2 linked regions of the Ovis aries genome follow. The protein of the gene in region 1 interacts with the protein of each later gene in a pairwise test. Links are inferred from orthologs where the notes say so. Each region holds a gene or a part of one and is shown in the gene's direction. Other genes may lie near its edges.

Region 1 (3,824 bases):
TTTTTATTAGGGAAAAAAGATGCATTATTAATCATGTAGGAGAGATTCACAGAAAATATTAGGCTAAAGTATTTGCCGTCAAAATCCTCATCACCAAAACTTTGAGAATTTTAGTGACTTTGTCTACTAGACTGAAAATTAGATGCTAGAATTAAAGAGTACTCAAGGTTTTAGAATTTTTTTTTAGGAAATCCTTAAATAATAAAAAAAGTTATAATAATTTATATAGTTCTTAACATGTTAAAGTGAACAAAATATCCATTTTCTGTTGGAAAGAATTTAGTTTATTAATAATTAGTTTTTGTAATTTTTATTTTTATAAAATATTAATGTATATCTCAAAATATTTGCTCCCTTAATTGTGATTTAAAAAATTTTTCTGTAGAGTGTATTAAAAATCTCCAGACTGAACAAGCGTCTTTACAGTCAGAAAATACACAGTTCGAAAGTGAAACTCAAAAACTTCAGCAGAAACTTAAAGTAATGACTGAACTATATCAAGAAAATGAGATGATACTTCACAGGTAATAAATTATGTTGGTCACTCCATTGAGTGGCAAATAAAAAAGCTTAAAAATGTTTTGCATTCAGCTTATGTGATTATTTAGGCTTCCCCTTGTGGCTCAGCTGGTAAAGAATCCACCTGCAATGTGGGAGACTTGGGTTTGATCCCTGGGTTGGGAAGATCCCCTGGAGAAGGGAAAGGCTACCCACTCCAGTATTTTGGCCTAGAGAATTCCACGAACTGTATAGTCCATGGGGTCACAGAGTTGGACACGACTGAGCAACTTTCACTTTCACTATGTGGTTATTCAAAGTTCTTAATTTATGATTGGGTTGCATTTCATCAGTTTATTTTAAGACAGTTATTTGATTTTGAAACATTTTTTCTTCAGTGATAAAAATATAAATGATAATGGTGAACTCTTAAAGCTTCTGTATTAGTAGTACTGTATTGGATAAGGTGCTTTACAATTTGAGTCTATAATATTAAATTCCACACTCAGGTACATTTGTTTTTTTCTTACATGTGATGTCTTTATTGATATTTGCAGGTTGCTTTATGGGAAGCAGTAGAATAAATCACCAGTTGTGATATAATTAAAAATATACCTTTGATTATTTTATGACATACAATAACAGAAATAAAACACTTTTTGTTTTAAGGAAATTGACAATGGAGGAAAATTACCGATTAGAGAAAGAGGAGAAACTTTCCAAAGCTGATGAAAAGATCAACCATGCAGCTGAAGAGCTGGAGACCTATAGGTATGAATATATTTCACCCCTTTCTTTTTGAGGTAGGAAGGGCATCCATACAAAAGCCCAAAAGCAGAAAAAAATAATAGAGCAATTAAAAAAAAATGCCCTTAATTTAATTATTTTTCCTTTAGATGTCTTGCTCTTATGTGATTATACAGAAAATATAAAAAGGAAAAAAAAAGTTTTTCTTTTACTCTATGTAATTCAAAATCTCTTAGATTAGTTGGATTTGAATATGGGCAATCCTATATTATGTTAAAGTTAAGAACTTTATGAATGTGACTAATTTTAAGGTCTTTCCTCTTTGGTTCACATGGGGAAGAATGTATATAATATTAATCAATTTGAGAAGTATGCTGCAAAAAGAAGAATAAGCCTTAATTAAAGTTATGAAGAAGTGTTTATAAGACCATAAATCTAGTTTTTACCTTAGCTCAATCCTTACTGAAATAGTCGATCCTAAAATAATAGAAATAATAAAAACCTAGAGAAAATAAGTGATAAGATTCAGCAGTACTCCAAATAGTTGTGATACTTCATTTTGCATTAGGAAGAGCAAGCTTGAATTTTATCCAAAAGAAGTTTTTAGTCTTATAAGGTCTTTTTATAGTTTTATGAACTTTAAGTCTTTTTAGTCTTATAAAGGTAATAGCATTTTCTTTCTCACAGATCTTTAATTTCCTAGAGTTCTATTAAGACTATAGACATCTGAATACATCTCCCAGTATGCTTCTTAAAAATGAAAATGAGCCAGTATTCCATCTAAATCTTAGGTAAACTCAAGTAGTAGTATTCCTAAAGCTTACCTAATGTTTAAATTATATCAGGAAAAAAATATGCTTTAGAACCTTGCAACTAAATCAGCACCACCAAAGGTGATGAACATGTGGAGTTCTAGCGTTCCATGAAACAAAGCAGTCTAGGTATTAAATTAATTAATATTTTCAGTAGACATAGTGTGTTTTGTCATTTCTTAGTTTATGTTAAGTAGAATAATTGCTTATTCTTTATAGAAAGCGAGCCAAAGATCTAGAGGAAGAGTTGGAGAGAACTGTTCATTCTTATAAAGGACAGGTACGTGTGTGTGTATAACTTAAAATGGTGGTGATTTGTTTGAATTCATACCTGTTTTGATGCAGGAATGTAGTTAGTCTCTTGAGGTTTTGCACGTGTGGCGGAACATTTCTAGGGAGCAAAGATTCTGGGCCAAGAGACATTGTTTAAAGTTGCTATGTGAACTACTGCTGATTTGGGAATTTGAGTTGCATAAAGAAATAAACATATGGCAGCATTAGGGTCCTATATATATATAACCAGTCTGGCTAGTTGTCTCTTAATTGGTACCTCCTATTGTAATTGATTATTGTGTAAAACAGAAATGTACCAGACAAAAATTTCAGTTGTCTTTACATTGTTTTTCTTTTAGAACTATAATAGAGTAGATCATATGTATATGAAAATTTGCTTTAAAATAATACTTGCTGACATTTTAGAGATGATTGAGTTATTTCTGAGTTTGTGAGTTTTACATTAAATCATAGTGGTAGGTGTGAATGTTTTTTACAGAAAAAAATAGTTATTAGTAGTATTTTAATGACTTTTCTTTTTCAGGTTATTTCTCACGAGAAAAAAGCACATGATAATTGGGTAAGTATTAAATTTTCTTAGGCTTTTTTGTCAAATTGTTTTTTTTCCTAATTTAGATGCGCAGTGTAAGGGTACACTTTTATAACTGAGAAAAAAAGGTAGTATTTAAAAAAATCAGTTTCTTTTAATTTCACCAGTAGTGGAATTACATCCCTTATGAACTAAATACTTTGTTATGACACAGTTATTCACAAAATCTGATTTTTCCTTCTCTGCTTTTAGCATATTACTTCTTTGCAAGGAGCTTTACTCTTTGGGGCTTATACTCTGGGGGAGGTGAGGCAATGTTCATGGACTTCTTTCAGGCAGTGTATTGCCAGCTAATTACTTGTGGACAAATTTTTAAAATTCTCTAGGCTTGTTTACTCATCTGTAAAACAATGGGACTAGCTGAAGTAATAATCTAAAGCCCATCCTAGTTCTAAAAATTATATTAATATAATTTGGGTATCTGATTTTCTGATTTTTAATTACTTGTTACACAGTAAGAAAAAGACCATCATGAGAAATGACATGTCATTGCTGTGGAGGAACTGTATGAGGAAGTGATAACTATATAGATTTTGAGTAATGATCAGGGTGGTCTCTCTAACATGAAGAACTGTTGTTAACAGCTGGCCTTTGAAAGACTTGCCCCTCAAAGTCTTCAAGGGGAAGCGATTTGCACAGTAGGTGAATATGGGGTCCGGAGTCAGCTTGTTTTGGTTGATATCCTGGTTCTATCACCTACCACCTGTTCCTTACCTAAAGACAGATATTATTAGTATCTATTTCAGAGTTATTGTGATGACATTAAATAAGATGATTCTGATAGTCAAGTACCTGACGTATAGTAGGCATTCAGTAAATGTTAACTGTTAAATTATCACTGTTGTACTGAAGCTTGGAAGATATTTTTATTTTTAGGCATGGAT
Region 2 (3,824 bases), on another chromosome or scaffold:
CGTTCCTTTTCTGAAGAATCCTCCCTTCTTGACAACACGTACAGATGAAAAATAGAGTGAAGTGTGTGTTCCCAGATACTGTTTCATTTTCCCAAGGGCCCCTTTTGTTTGCTCACCAACTCTGCCCTGGTCAGTGGGGGCGTTTGTGTACCTGGCACTTTCCTTGACTGTTTCACTGGCAGAGAGGCATATTTCAACCTGCAGAAGTCAGAGAGAAACATGAAGGAGCTGAGAGAATTGTATAAGGGAGGCACTTGTGGATTACAGGTCTCAGAGAAAGATTTAACAATCGCTTTGGGCAGGTGAGATCTGGGCTTAGAGAAGCTTGGATTTTTATGACTTTGTTTTTGTGCAGTCACTAAGCCTTGTCCGACTCTTTGCAACCCCATGGACTGCAACACACCAGGCTTCTCTCCTTCACTATCTCCTGGAGTTTGCTCAAATTCATGTCCATCAAATCGGGGATGCCATCCAACCGTCTCATCCTCTGTCATCCCCTTCTCCTCCTGCCTTCAGTCTTTCCCAGCATCAGGGTCTTTTCCAGTGAGTCAGATCTTCACATTAGGCAGCCAAAGTAATGGAGCTTTAGCTTCAGCATCAGTCCTTCCAATGGATATTCATTTTTATGACTAAAGCTCGCAATTACATGATTGTCCTGTACTTGGTATATAAGGGGAGAAAAATATTTAGAGCAAAAGAACCAGACTCAAATAATAGTAAAAGAGGCTCATGTTTCCCAAATGCATATACCATGTTCTAAGTTTTCTGTGCTCTTTCCCATTTAATCCTCATAGCCACCCCTGAGATAGCTGGTGCAATTACTTATCTCATTAGAAAGAGGGCAGAGAGACTGAGCTGAAGATAAAGAAACCATCCAAGGAGATAAGCTTTAAGTATTGGATTGGAACTTGGTCTGAACGTACAGACTCTTAGCCCTTCCTTGTGCTGCCTCACCTACTTACTCTAAAATTACTTTTTTTTTTTTTCTGAATTGCCACCTACTTTTGTCATTAAGTGGTCTTCCCTCATAGTTCAGTTGGTAAAGAATCCATCTGCAATGCAGGAGACCCTGGTTCGATTTCTGGGATTTCTGGGTTGGGAAGCTCCCCTGGAGAAGGGATAGGCTACCCACTCCAGTATTTTTGGGCTTCCCTTGTGGCTCAGCTGGTAAAGAGTCTGCCTGCAATGCAAGAGACCTGGGTTCAGTCCCTGGGTTGGGAAGATCCCCTGGAGAAGGGAATGGCTACCCACTCCAATATTCTGGCCTGGAGAATTCCATGGACTGTATAGTTCATGGGGTCACAAAGAGTCGGACACAACTGAGTGACTTTCACTTTCAGTTTGTCATTAAATATGACAACTTAAATGATAAAGAAGAAACACTTAATGAGAACAATATATTGAAGGTCCTTGAGTTATTCATAGCACATGCATTTTTTAAGGAAAGTTGTATTCCATAAGGAAACAAAGTTCATGGAATTTGTTCAAGCCAGAATGAGACTTTTAACTATTTTACAGTTAGGAATCCTCTGAGAATAAGAATATTTAGATATGAGAATGGACCCATCAGAGTATCAGAGGAAAAAAAAGAATAATAAAAAGTTTACTGTTGCCTAGATTTTTCAAATATCTTCACATCCTTGAAAACAATCCATTTCCAGAACTGTAAGCACTTGGCATGGTAGGGTAGAGGATGGAATGGTAAAGTAAGTGAACTACATGAGTCATACTTGCCTCCTCTAAACAGCTATGAATCTAGTTGTCAAATGGGAAATGGCGGGGAGATGTTGGCATGTCCAGAGTTGAGTCAGAAACAATTCTTAAGTCCTCAGGCCCATACGTGAGAGTCCAGTGACTGTCTCCTGCTGACACACGGGGCAGTGACTTAGATTTTTGTGCTTATGTGAAAGATAGCCTTGTTCCTCTTTCAGAATAACTTTGTACATTTCATTCATCCACTCCACACAGTTGACCTGTTTTGTGCCTGCACTCTTCTAAGTGTTGGAATGTTTACAAAAGTATAACTACATTCTCGACACTGTTCTAAGTGCTTTACGTGTATGCACGTCAGGATCATATTTTTAAGTACAGTTTTCTAACTTTTTTCAACTTAGCACATTTAAAGTTTTTCATGTCTGAAGTATTTTATTGTGTGATGTGCCATGATTTATTTAATCATCCCTCTTTTGGTGGGGAAATACGTACATTGTTTTCCCTATCCTGTCTTATTTTTAACTGAGGAAGAATAAATTAAACTAGATCAAACAAAACAAAGGAAAACCCCTGCTTTAGCCTAAAAGAGAAGGAATCAGATGTAATAAAATTTTATTTTGATTTTAGAAAGTCTTTGTTATGGGGTAAATTATCCCATCTTATGAACTGCTGGACACCATTTTTTCCATATGCTTTTTTATAAAATTAGCCTAATGTGATATATTAATGGGTTTGATGAAATGGTAGTCAGTGAAATCTGGTGGGTAAAATGCTGGTTAATAGGAGTGTGCTTACGGCAAGGCTGGACTTTGAGCCACCCACACAGATGATCAGCCTGTGAAGGCCAAATTGTTTGGTTCTTAGAAAGTTCCTTCTGTGTCTGCAGAGCAAGTCACCTCTCTCTGACTTTCCACCCTTGTCCCTTTTCTTCCAGAGCCTCCTTGGCCAACTGCAGGTTAAACCTTGCGCTGGTATACTTTGAAAAGGCAGTTGACAATGTTATTGCCAATAAGGGTGACAATACGTCAGATCTGGTCAGTCTTTACCAGGAAATTGCTCAGATCGAGCAGCTGAGGAGGAACCACGAGCAAGCCATCCAGTACTTGCACCAGGTAGGTGGGTTGGCTGAAGTCCAGGCCAGGAGGCTTTGTTTGGCCGCAGGCCTGGTTCTCAGAAGGGAGAAACGGGATGGGATCGATTTTCCTCCAGATCCACACAAGAGACCTTCCTCAAGCTCTGGGCAGGGAACACAGGCTCACGGCGGGCCTGTCTGCTGTGTGACCTGATCTAACACAGCATTTCCCCTCCTGGCTTCCCTCACCTCTGTCTGTGCCAGGAAGAGGCAGCTGAGGGAAATAGCCAGAGGGGCAACTGAGTTGACGTCTTTAACAAATGCAAAGGCTTCTAAAATGAAAATTTGTGATATTTTGGTGTAATGCTCTCATTTGTCCTATAAACTAGTCCAGCTGGTTGAATTTCCAATCTAAGGTTAAACCACCAAGATGGTGTTTTGCTTGGAGGTAACTAATTTGACAGATGGTGAGGGGAAAACGAAACATAATGTTGAGTCTATCATAATTTAAACAGTGTAGGGCACTTTATGTATCAGGTACTTAAAACTTTCTTTGAAACTGCTGGTTAAATTCACCTTTTCTATCCTCAACGGGGAACCGTGCCCACAGCTTCAGGTATCTCCCATGACTGAGATCAGATCATAGTACTGGATTTCCTATTTTGCAAGAAAAAGTGCACTGCCCTGGAACAGTGCATGTGACAGCAGTCTGCTACTGAAGAAAAGGCATTTGCCTGCAATCCAGAAATCCCAGGTTATTGACATCACAATGGAGAGGTGTTTGGGAATGCTGCCCGGAAGGCAGGGAGTCCACTACTTACGGAGAAAGCCTGGCCAGTGTGTCTGAGACTCCCTTAAAGCAGCAGTCCAGTTTAGAATGAATAAAACAGTATATAATCAGGGTTTCCCAACCACAACAAAAATAATAGTTCAAATGTATGGAATGCTTTTACCATGTGCGCTTGAGGCTATATTAGTTCATTTATTTCATGAAATAAGCATATGAAGTAAGTACCATTATTTATTTTTTATCTTACTC

The links.
Region 2: the proteins of MIA2 (region 1) and TTC23L interact in binary tests that used the Homo sapiens proteins (3 or more experiments, as listed by UniProt). The two-hybrid records come from large-scale screens. The link is inferred for Ovis aries from reciprocal best matches to the Homo sapiens genes MIA2 and TTC23L.

The regions. Positions count from the first base shown.
Region 1 is NC_056071.1:46,989,647-46,993,470, forward strand, and holds part of MIA2 (melanoma inhibitory activity protein 2), read left to right. Parts: intron 1-385; coding exon 386-524; intron 525-1,167; coding exon 1,168-1,269; intron 1,270-2,276; coding exon 2,277-2,337; intron 2,338-2,874; coding exon 2,875-2,910; intron 2,911-3,824. UniProt on the Homo sapiens protein: Plays a role in the transport of cargos that are too large to fit into COPII-coated vesicles and require specific mechanisms to be incorporated into membrane-bound carriers and exported from the endoplasmic reticulum.
Region 2 is NC_056069.1:39,454,100-39,457,923, reverse strand, and holds part of TTC23L (tetratricopeptide repeat protein 23-like), read left to right. Parts: intron 1-176; coding exon 177-302; intron 303-2,647; coding exon 2,648-2,825; intron 2,826-3,824.